Linked DNA regions of Drosophila melanogaster. Changing the gene in region 1 together with any one later gene gives a genetic interaction. Each region holds a gene or a part of one and is shown on either strand. Other genes may lie near its edges.

What was found. Genes that interact genetically often act in the same process or in processes that back each other up.
Region 2: of bs (region 1) and Bap170, changing one enhances a phenotype caused by changing the other (phenotypic enhancement), as found in Drosophila melanogaster (one study listed by BioGRID).

What each region holds. Positions count from the first base shown.
Region 1 is NT_033778.4:24,341,052-24,345,866, forward strand, and holds the start of bs (blistered), read left to right. Parts: upstream 1-1,809; 5' UTR 1,810-3,038; coding exon 3,039-3,623; intron 3,624-4,815. UniProt on the Drosophila melanogaster protein: Required for the formation of intervein tissue of the wing. Acts in a dosage-dependent manner to suppress wing vein formation and promote development of intervein cells. Might play a role in the proper formation and maintenance of the trachea.
Region 2 is NT_033778.4:6,634,951-6,642,528, reverse strand, and holds Bap170 (brahma associated protein 170kD), read right to left. Parts: upstream 6,018-7,578; 5' UTR 5,841-6,017; coding exon 5,599-5,840; intron 5,535-5,598; coding exon 4,519-5,534; intron 4,349-4,518; coding exon 1,542-4,348; intron 1,245-1,541; coding exon 243-1,244; 3' UTR 171-242; downstream 1-170. Other genes in the region: Trap1, read left to right, coding at 6,542-6,674, 6,751-7,578.

The DNA of each region.
Region 1 (4,815 bases):
CAAGCAAATAATTAAGTATTAGAAATGTTCAGCTGGGGAGAATTCCGCGGAAAGTGCGATGGCAAAAACTACAGCATGTTGCAGTTGTTCCCAGCTGGCCAGAAGCCTCCAAGAGAAGCCAAGAGTTCTCCTCCAGACAGGCTGACGATTGCCTAGAAAGACAGCCGCACTGGAGCCAGCGGACTCCTACTGCCGGTGGAGGAGAAAACGGCGGAGAAAGAGGGCCTGGATGGCTGCAGACGCTGAAGAGCCCAGCCTGCAGCCAACTAACCAATTAGTAAGCGCTGCACAGAACGCGTCTACAATTGTGAGAACCTCAGACCAGGCTTGCAGGCCAACAAGTCAACAAGCCAAGAAGCCAACAGCCAGCAGGCCGTGTGAGTATGATGAAATGTCAGCAGGACCAGAAGCTGCATCGAAATGCACTCGGAGAAATACTTAGCAAACAACTAAAACCAAATTACACAATAAAAAAGTGTCACAGAGCTAGAGATGCATATGTCATATGACCCATCTGTAAACCTAATCCATATAAAATACGGAATTATTAGGAATGCGTGGGGATCATCAAACTTCATCTTTATTTATTGTTCTTTCTTTTCGCAGTCTTGGGGAAATGGGAATACAAGTGGAAGGCATCATTCAGATTCAAGTGACCCAAGTGGCATCCGTTTTCCCGTAGTGTCCAGAAGACCTGGTGCCCGCTGCGTGGATCGATCCTTATATGATCCGCTGGCAGCGGCAAACGTTCTATTTTGACAGTCATTATGATTAATTTAAATCATTAGGCAGCCCGGGCAGGTAGACAAACCATCGAGCTCCTATATTCCATCTAATTAAATGCGAGAGGAGCGGAGCTGCAGTTGGCTGTGGTCCTGGTCCTGGTGCTTGATCGGAGTCGACCTCGGAGTCGGAGTCGTGGAGCTGGACACGGGACCTGGACTGGCTTATTCGCGGAAGAGACAAGCTGGCGACAACGACACCGATGGCTGGAAAAGGCAACGATGACCATTTGCAGCTGGGGAATGCATCATCTTCGATCGCGGATCGGGGCGCAGTGAGTGTATCGATTTATCTGCGCTTACTATATACATATCTGCTGCTATCTGCTAGTCGCTGCACGTGGCCATGCCCACTCCGCCCCTTTGCCCATTCCGCGAACCTCTATTTAAGGACATGGCGAAATACTCGTGCTCCTGTGTACAAGTGGGCCCACCACGCAAATCCTCTAGAGCATTCTGACCATATTGGCGGGGCTAAGAAATTCCTGGCATAGTTTAAGTGTATCGCTTTTTGTTGCTGCGCCCGGGCACTCAAGATGCCCGCAAAGCTCAGCCTGCGAAATGTCGCAAAAGAAATTACAAAATCAGCAATAAGAAAATCAGAAAATCACAAAATCAGAAGATCACAAATTAACTAAATTAACAGCGCTGATAAGGCGAAACGCCACGTATGTAATTACCGAACTCAACCACGAGTTTTCAAGGGGAGGAGCCAATGAGCCACCCAGCCATATGAATCCCAAATCCACGATCTATGTGTGCGCATGCGCAGCGAATGGGTATGCATATGGGGGCGTGGCCATCTAATTAATTAAGCCATAAAGCCAGCAAAATGAACGACGGCAGCAGGAAGACGCCGAACGGGGGTGGGGATTGGGTCGGGGAATGGGGGATTGGGGTTTGTTTTTATGTACTCCGTACTCTTCGCGTTCGAAATCGAAGAGAGCGCGGCGCTCTTAGGAAAAGAGGAAACCGGTTCGCCCAAGTTTGGAATATCGAGCGAACATCGTTGGTGGAAATACGCTGAAGTTTATTAGGTATTTGCACGCCATCTGAAGAACAACGAACGCCAGCTATCGATCGCAAGTTTAGCCCGTCGAATCGTTTCGAATTCGTATTTGGAATGAACCACAATAAAATCGCCACAAATAAAGTAAACAGTCCAAACAAGTGCCTAGCGACAAATAAGCAAACCAACTGCAACGCATACGGAACAAACAAAAACACAAATATTTCCCATAACTGCACTAAATCTACGAAGTCGAAACAAAGTTAGGCGTATTTTTTTTACCAGAAACACTTAAACAATTTTTACAAAAAACGGATATTAATGCAATCAGTTCGAGACAAGCAGACAGCAAGCGGAAGACTTAAGGAGATAACAACTTATAGAGGCCATAATCAAAGGAATAAAGCACCATCAGCCAGCGATGAGAAGGAACGTCTTCAATGATAAACCTTCGAAAACTTTTAGAAAATAGCAAACATCCCAATAAACCACAACAATTATAAAACGCGAGAAAGGATTTGGTAAATCATCTAAAACCAGTTCAACAAACAACACATATAGTAAACATTAAATATTAAATCACAAGTTTTAGAAGGCAAACAAAGATAAAAACTCTTAACACCAGTTAAATAAAATATACTAAAAGAACTGCAACCAAAAAATAACATACAATTAAATGAAATTAAAAGCCATAAAGAAACTTAAAGCCATTGGAAACAAGCCATAAAAGCGGTCCAGAACCTAAATATTAAACACAAACCAAAATTCAAATTCCGCGCCAAACGACCACACTGCGCAACACACGAGCGCTGCATCCCTGGACTTCAGCCGCATTCCAACACTGCAGGACTGTCAGCTGTCAGTTTTCCTGTGTGTGTGCGCGCGTAAGTGTGTGCGTGCACTTAAGAAACTTAAATTCGCGTTCTTGGCCAAAAAAAACCCGGGTTTTTAATAAGTTATAGCGTTTTCCTCGACTGAGAACTTGGCCCCCAGGCAGACGGGCACAAAAACCGCCCCAGAAACGCGCCCGCCGCCGCCAAAAAGGCCGAAAACGCCAGCGAAACGCGCGCGTTGAGTGTTTTCTGTGTGGTTTTATTTTTGGAATATAAAGCGATCTGATCTGAAAAGTGTGCCGCGGCCGGATTCTAGATATTCAGATTCCCAGCACCCGAAACCCAAACGCAATAATAGACGCGCGCGGTGCCTTGGATCTCTACGGCTCCACGGTGGAGAACTTTTACCTCAGAATGGATCCGACGCGAGGTGACTCGCGGTACAATCTCAACTACTCGATGAGTAGCATAGGGCTGAGCCTGGCGGATCCGGCGGACATGTACGGCAACCCGGCCCTGGGGGCGGGCCGCCCGCCCTCCGGTGGCCTGCTCCAGAACATGGGCGGCGTTCCGCCGATGCAGCGCCCCAATCCCGCGGCAGGAGCACCCCCTGCCCCGCAGTGCCAAACGCTCCACAGCCCACAGCACGCCTCCCAGCAGCAGCAGCAGCAACAACAGCAGCAGCAGCAACACCAGCAGCAGCAACAACAGCAGCAGCAGCATCCCCAGCAGCAACGCGGCCTTAAGCGCTCCGGCAGCGACTGCTACGAGGATCACCACCGCTCGTCCGGCGGACTCACCCTCCAAGGACTGGACAACGTGGCCAGCGGAGCCGTCGACGACAGCGTAGACAACTACAACCCGCTGCCCAACAAGAAGTCTCCGCCTGCCAACGGCAAAAAGACAAAGGGACGTGTCAAAATCAAAATGGAATACATCGACAATAAGCTGCGTCGCTACACGACCTTCTCCAAGCGCAAGACGGGCATAATGAAGAAGGTAAGATCGCTGGAGCACCCCTACGCCATCCCCATCCCCAACGATATTTTCAACCCAACCCCGAAACCGAAATCGATCCCCATCCCAATCCCCATTCCAGCCACGATTGGCGCTGCAATTGGGATGTTGACATCGGGCCACGTTTCCAGCGCATGTGCAATTAATAAATGCTTCAGGGATTCAGTTGCGACGGAATCCAGCAGTTCCCCCACATCTCTGGCATTGTTCTGCCTCCGGAAAGAGCGAGGATTTATTGTCAATTGGCCATCGGCACAGTGGTCGGGATAGCTGGCGCACAATAGGAGAACCATCTCGGAATATCAAGTACCCAATGGATATATCCAACAGTTAGACCATTTGTGTACATTACTCGTCAGTTCAAATATTCAAATCTTTCTCTTGTGTCCATTACCAATTATTAGTTCCACTTGGAAGTATGTTTATTGGACCAATACAAATTCTGCTTGGAAATTGCTTATAGGCCACCTTATGTTGGGATCCCAAACCTAATGCTAAACAATTTGATTTAAGACTCAAAAACCCGAACCACTGTGCCCGCGAAGTACCTCTGCTCATCTCTAGAACAGTAGCCGCAGATCCTCTGCTTTTGGCCAGATCGCGTCTGTTTGGCCAACTGTTGGCCGCTTTGGCGGCGTTGTGTAAGCGCGGTAGCCCACGATTCCGCGTTGCCTTTGTTTTCGGCTTCATAAAATGTTAATTTGCCGCCGCAATTGCATTCAAAGGAGGCTCCTGCCCACGGAGCACTCCTCCCCCGAAACAATTGATGCGTGCTCCTTGTGGATGGTGGCCCACAAGTCGCTGCAACTGGCAACGTTGCCTTGGCATTTTCAAATGACCAATTTTCACACGCAAACTTACATAATGCCACTGCATTAGCTCCTGCTGCTTTCCATCGATCTGGGGGCCGTATATGAAATTTTTCACATTTCTGAAATAGACTTCCCTGGCCACTAGCTGAACCAAGCCCCGATCAAAATCAGACAAAAAGCATCAACATCGCGGCGCTAAATCACGATCTCAGCACGATCTTTGCCCAAGACACAAAATCTTATGAAATATTTGACCCAAGCAGACCAAAAACAAAGACGTTGGAGCACTTAAATTTAAAAGGGGAGATTTGGGAAAACGTTTAGCTTGTTGTACGCTAGAATGGCAATAAAATGTCAAGTAT
Region 2 (7,578 bases), about 18 Mb from region 1:
TAATTCAAAACGTTTATTTGCTAACCAGGAGTATATCTGATAATGTCCACCATAGCTCTTTAATTCTAAGCCTCGTAGAATTGTAGAAGTCAAATTAAAATCTTACTCCCGAATCTCCCATATTTTGGTGCTATATGGTATGAATCATTTAGACAAACAAGGTATGGTTTGCTTTTCACATTTTTTTAGTGTCGTTCTTACAAGTCAGTTAAATAATCATATTGATGGTAAGCTATATCGGCTTACTGGCTCAATTCGTACATGATGTGGGAGAGCACTCCGCTAGCCTCCACATTGCTAAAGGCGACATTGGCCAAGCGTGACTCATAGCGTTTCAGGCTTCTCTTGGCCGTAGCCGAGTAGGTGACCAGGTTGCGTATAATGAGCGCCGCTGTCAGACGGATGCTCTTGGTGACTGGACCCTCATTTTCGTCCATCAGCTCTTTAGCGTTCGTGTAATCAGTCGTGTGTCGGTTCATAGCTTGCATTGCGGCGCTGCCAACGACTGGAACCGCTGAAGCAGGACCCGAAGGTGAACCAGTAGCGCCTCCCGCCAATCGTTGGGCATGACCCTCGTTGCGCACTATGGTCACGGGAGCCTGGGTGGGCGCCACATTGTGAATCCCAGTTGCCAGGCGACGTTGCACACTGGCGCGCAAGTTCTCCGTTGTCAGGTGCCGGTCAATCAGATGCGTCATCAATGAGTACCGTTTGCGCGCTCTGTTGTCGCAGAAGTTGGGTCCGCTGCCCCACTGACAATAAATGTCGGCATCAGAATCAAGGTGATCTGGACAGTGGACACTGCACACGTGGTACTGCAGCTCGTTAAGAGACTTGAATTTCTTGCGGGGACAGTTCCGCCAGTCGCAGATGTACAACCAATTTGCATCCACGGGCATGGGAGAGGGCGTGGGGTTGGCATTCGGGCCAGAAGCAGCGTAGACGCTCTGACTGACAACCAAAGAACTGCTGCTGGGACCTGTAGTTACGACAGCAGGTGGGACAACCGTCTGTGCTACTACCTCTGATTCCGCTGGCTTGGCCTCGCTGGTTGCTAAGACAACTGTTTTGCCGCCTTCCGTTGAATCACTAGTTCCTGACGTCGTTACCACAACAGCCTGGGTGACTGATGGCTTGGGGCTAGATACTTGAGCAGGTTGTGGCGGCGCCGGCTTTTTTGCTAGGAGAGTTACAGTTGGTGAAACTGGAACGGGTGCTATTTTCGGTTTGGTCGCTTCGGAAATCTAAAATAATATATTAAAATATTTGTTTTAGTCATCTTAGCACAATTCTTATTACCATACACCTGTTGGCTATTTAGAAAAGAGATCCTGTAAAACCCGCCACTCAAGTAGTGAAAACGCGATGGAAACATTTAAAAATGGGGAATGTGAATGTGATGCGATTTATGGGATTTAGAACGGGCATGGGCATATTATGAAATCAAATTTTAAGCTGTTTACATACTTTTCAATGACCCTTGTATATATACTTAAAAAAAAATAATAATTCTTTAATTTCGGCCCCAGTTCCCAACTTACTGCCGGCATGGTTATCTTCTGTTGGATGATGGATGGATGATGCTGCTGCTGCTGGTCCAACACAGATCGAATGTGATGTTGCTGCTGAAGAGCCACGCCTCCTACGATAGCCGTGCTGGTAGGTGACTGAGTGATGATCGTCTGCGAGTTAAGCTGGCTTTGCTGCAGGGGAGCCGGTGTGGCCGACGTCTGGGTAATTAGCGTGGTCTCCTTGATTCCGCCCAGAATTACCTGCCTCTTTTCCCCACCAACCGTACCGCCAACTGTGGAAGTAGGAGTGGAGGGGCCCGAGATTATGTGTTGCTGGATGATAGACTGATGTTGCTGGAGCTGAGGAATGGGCAATGAAGCGCCCGGCTTTGCGGCAACTAATCGCTGCTGGGGTGCTAATTGCGGCGAAACGAGCTGCGGCTGTGGTTGGGGCTGATGAAGCTTTATAGTAGCCGGGATCTGGTTCAACTGCGACAGCAGTGAAGGCGACATTTGGCCAGCACCCAACGCCGGAACTGGTCGCTGGGGTGCGATAAAGATTTGCTGCTGGGGGGTAGAAGTACGCGGTTGGGCCAGTTGTGGAGCTGTGGTGGTGGTAACCAGGACCTGCTGGCCCTGCGCCGTTGTCATTATCATTTTCTGAGTGCCAGCCACGTTCGCCGCAGAGACTCCTCCTGGCTGCTGCAGGATTATTATGGTCTTCGTTTGTTGTTGTGGTGTTTGCGTCACCAGCAGAGTGGGTGGTGCCGACTGCGTGGATGTCGGAATAGTCGGCTGCTGGGCCACAAGATACGTCTGGCCTTGCTGGTTGGTGGCCAGAACATATTGCGTCTGCGGAGCTGGCGTGGAATCCATTGCAGTCTTGGGCTGCAGGATCACTGGCACAGTTTGCAAGCCCTGATCCGTCTTTATGGTGGCCGTGGTGGCAAGTTTTAGTTGGGAATGCGGAGCTGGAGAAACCACATTGCTACCGGGGAAAACAAGTTGACGTTGGGTTGGTTGCACTTTAGCCGGAATGAGTTGAAGCTGCTGTGCCTGTTGCGGGTGCTGCTGGCTTTGCTCCTGGCTTGGTTTGGCCAGCGGTGGAACGTCATCCATATCCTCATCCTCCAAAATAGATGCCGCCAGATCCGCATAGAGATTGGCTGCATTCTTCGAGGGAGTCACCTGCGCTTCTTCCTTGCCGCCAGAAGATGAGCTGCTGGAACTGCTGGCAGCGGCATCTAAAGCCAGACGCTTATTCTGCTCCTCGTCAATGGTTAATTTTCGTTTGGCAGCTGCTGATGCAATGATGAGAGTGCGCCCGCTGGCGTCTTTCGTCACTACGTTTGCACCACTCAATGGAGCGAGAGGTGGCGGGGCCGAATCAGTGATTGGCTTCTTTTCGATGGCCATCTGGGGGTGCAACGGCTTAATGGTAGTCTGACCCACCTTCACCGGTGTGTGCTGCATTAGCGGGTTGTTCACGAAGGCGCTTATAGCTGTTGAGGTTACCTTGATGGGCTGGGTAGCATTTGTGCCCGATGCCGTGGTAGCCACAAGGGCTGGCGGCTGCGGCGTCTGAGCTTGGGCCTTCTGCTTCTGTTGGCGTTCAGTTACCTTGTTGGCCAACAAGCTTTTGATGAGCGAGGAGCTTGGGGGTGGCGTGACTGCAGAAGAAACGCTTTCCTCAGACGCCACTTCCGTTTGAACAGGATCACTAAATGGTTGCTTGGGCAATATTGGCGTGTCCTTTTTAACAGGAACAATGCTGGGGGTGGGTCTCTGTTGCATGGCTAGCGGCTGAGCTCGCATCCTAATGCCTACGTAGTACGTCCCAGGTAGCTCTATTCCGTCCAGGTGCCGTACAATTACTGGTCCCACCGATTGATTAAATATAAGCCGCACTAGACGAGGAAACTGCATGTGATTAACCACTGAAAGCTTACCCGCCTTCTGGCAATGCGATAAATATATTCTGTATAGTTCCGCTTGTTCCACACGGAGATCGTTACCGTTCCCAGCCCGTTCATACGTGGCTCCCAGCCAAGCCAGCGCATACTGTTCGTCCTCGTGTGTAAAACTCTGGGAGGCGGAGGGCAGACTGGGAAGGGTCACGGTGGCAGCGATTGGTGGCAATTGTACCTGCGGCAGACTGGGTACAGGCAATTGAACCTGTGGCAGACTGGGCATTGGCAGACCGGGGAGAGCTGTAACCAAGGGTGTTTGCTCTCCGTGAGGCAGCACTTGCGTCTGGGCGGGTGTAGGCGTGGGTAAAACTGCTGGCGGTTTAACAGCTACTTGCAGCGATGTTGGAAGTGTAGTCAGGGAAGTGGGACCTGGAGCAAGAATGGCGGGCATGTTCTGAGCCAGCGAGGCAGCCATGTTTCCGGGGAAAACCTCTACGACACGCATTAATATGCAACCGCCTGTGCCATATGACTGAGCCTCCACTGTGATAAGGGTCACCAGCTGGTCTATTAGGCCACGTACTTGCATCAGCATCGAACATGGCCGAGCGCCAAGAGCACTTAGTGCGTAAACTGCCTCCAGCGTAAAGATAATCATCATGACGTCGGTAAGCGAGAGGAGCAACATGGCTCGCTGGTAAAAGTCCAGGCCAAGGCAACGATTGATGTGCTGCGAATTGCCTTCTCGTCCGCACAACTTATAGAGTATCTCCAGACAGCTCATGATCACCGCGCGGTCGTTAGAGTCAATACCCTCGCAGAGAGTAGCTAAAAGATTCCGCGATAGCTCGTCAGTGGTGGGGTCTAGCAGCTCAAATTGTTGAGCCAGGTTGCCAGCGGTCTCGAGGGCCTGGATGTGAATGTTGCCTAGAACGAGCGAAACGTGTTTCAGTTATTTTATTTTAAATTGATTCTTTCGGGATTGCTATGCTACGCAATAGTCAATTTCCTTGCAGTGTATTTATGATAGCACCTTGATACTTCGTACATTCAAAGCGCCAAAAAATATAATTTCTAAGCAGATAAAAAAAACTTACTCCATCGTACGTTTGCTCCCATGACCAAATATCGCCACAACGTGCGGTTGGAGGCCAAGAGTGCATGATTCTCCTGATGAAAGCTGAGTGTACGGACTAGCTGGACAATCTGAAGCACTCGCTGGCCCATGCGCTCATCAGTCCCGTTGCTCCGGCGCAGATTAAGGAAGTGCAACTCGTCGCAGGCCGCCAGCAGTTCACTTCGAGCGGCAGAGTTCTCACCGTCCTCCTTACTTATCAGACCGTTGTCCAGCCAGGCCTGCTCATCCGTGTAGAGCTCTAGGACCTGTGGCTTGTCGTGTAGCAGGTCGCGCCAGAAACTGAGCTGCGAATGGTGTCGAACCTCGGTGTAACTGTGCTGGAACAGCTGGCGCATGGTGAAGTCAGCGTAGACTCCCAGGTGAGCAAGCAGCACATCAAGCAGTTTGGGGCACTCGGACAGCTGTAGGGTGTGGCGCGCCTCGTTGGCCATAAGTGTGCACACGTTTATGGCGAAGTCCTGCTCATTGGGCAGCGGAGAAAGCAGAGACAACAGCAGCTTCTCGTAGCTGCTGTGTCGGTGCAACTGCGTGGACATCTTGTACTGTCGGCGTCGTTCCACATTAACAGAGTGCTGGCGCTGGTTGTAGGCCATTGGCACCGCCGGCAACGTAGAGTGTGCTGATCCAAAAATGCTTCCTAGGCCACCACCGGCGCCAGCCAAAAAACGAGATCGCGAGCGTCCACCGCCCATTTCTACAATCTCAATAGCCGCCTCCAGAGCCTCCATCTTGTCTGGATCCTCGCCAAAGAAGTTCAACCGTTCGTACTTGTCCAGGTAGCGTCTGTAGATGTGCTTGATACTAGCCGTTCCGTTAACGCAGCGCTCCCGCAATGTCTCCATGGCGCTGTACACCTCGTCCCACTCGTCCCGCATGGTCACCTTATTAAAGCCGCCTCGTTCGGTTACCTCGTTGTACAGCTTGTACAGGTCGACATGCTTACCGCTGATCCTGGCGGGCTGTGTCAATGGAGTGCTGTTTGGGCAGAGGGAAAGTGGGTTAGGTCGTCTCCAAATACAGGAGAGCCGCGGCAACTCACCCGCGTCGTTCGTGAAACTGCTGCAGGTCCCTCCAGAACTCCTCCGGAGGTGACGGCGGCATCTCCTCGACCTTCTCCGGCATGATCTGTAATTGGGCGGGATTCTTGGCGCGAAGGGGAGTCGCTGGGGCCGCAATCTTGCCCGGCGTCTGTAGATCGCCCGGCTGAGTGGCGCTGTTTACGGCGGCAGCAGGCAGCGACTGAAGCAGCACCCGTACGTTGTCGATGGTGGTGGCGCTCATGATTGGATCTTTTTGTGTGGTGGCGTGAATGGGAAACACTTAACACATGATATTCTAATAGTAAGACACGCAGATGCTAATTAAAATTATTTAAAAAACTCAACAAAAATTACAACGCGACGCTGACGCGCTACAGCAGAGTTGCATTCACGAGCAGGGCTGTCAGCAATTGGACCGTATATCGATATGAGGTATCGATGTCTTTCAATATTGGATTTGATTTAACTTTCTTTTATTTACTGTCTTCTTTGAAGACATTTGTTATTTCATAACTCAAAAATCAGCATCCAATCTACATTGGCTAAACAATGAAACGTAATCTGTTCTTAATTCCTTCAGAATTTACGGTTTGTTGTTCACAGTTGAAACATCTCTATCTCTCTCTCTCTCTCTTGCTGATCGAAATCTTTAGAGAACTAGTCAGCTGGCAGTTTGCTTCAGTTTTGAGCTGAATAATGTGATGAAACTGAACTCTCCATTACATGTAGTAACTCTTATTCAAACCAACTAAGCATTTGAGTCCAAAATTCATTACAGCCCAGAAATTTGGAAGAAAACACCGTTATGAGTAGGGTTTTACCAGTTTACTATTATCGAATACTTACAATCGATTGATTTGGCTACACTGTGCACACATGTGCGCTGGAACAAACTTCGTAGTTGGGTAACATTAAAGTTGGGCAAAACATTAAAACAACAAGATGTCTGTACGAGCGATGGGAGTGCTGGGCCAGGCGTGCCGCCTCGGTCGCTGTGCCCAAGTGTTGAGGCAGAGTCACCGATCCGCCCCAGCAGCGTTCAATATCACCATTGGATCGCAGCATTCGCCGGGTGGTAAGCACTGAATATAAGCAACCGGCTCCCCGGAGGGATTCTTATGTTTACATAACACTCATCTTTTCACTTGCAGCTCTCTCGCTCCGTCGCTACTCCACGGAGACCAAGCAGGCATCAGGATCAGTGGTGGACAAGCATGAGTTCCAGGCAGAGACGCGCCAGCTACTTGACATTGTGGCTCGTTCCTTATACTCCGACCACGAGGTCTTTGTGCGCGAGCTTATTTCGAATGCAAGCGATGCGCTGGAGAAATTTCGGTACACCTCGTTGAGCGCTGGAGGCGAGAATCTGGCTGGAAAGGACCGGCCTCTGGAGATTCGTATCACCACCGACAAGCCACTGATGCAGCTAATCATCCAGGACACGGGCATCGGCATGACCAAGGAGGAGCTGGTCAGCAACCTGGGCACCATTGCACGCAGCGGCTCGAAGAAGTTCCTGGAGCAGATGAAGGGGACCCAGCAGGGAGCCAGCTCGGAGGCATCCTCGAACATTATTGGTCAGTTCGGCGTGGGCTTTTACTCTTCCTTCATTGTCGCCAATAAGGTGGAGGTGTTCACGAGGGCGGCTGTGCCTAATGCACCCGGACTGCGTTGGTCCACGGATGGCAGTGGAACCTACGAGATCGAAGAGGTGCCTGACGTTGAGTTGGGAACGCGAATCGTGCTTCATTTAAAGACCGATTGCCGTGAATATGCGGACGAGGAGAGGATCAAGGCGGTAATCAAGAAATACAGCAACTTTGTGGGCTCACCCATCTTGCTTAACGGAAAGCAGGCCAATGAGATCAAGCCTCTGTGGCTTCTTGAGCCACAAAGCATCAGCAAGGAGCAGCACCATGACTTCTATCGGTTCATTAGCAATAGCTTCGATGTCCCGCGCTTCACCTTACACTATAATG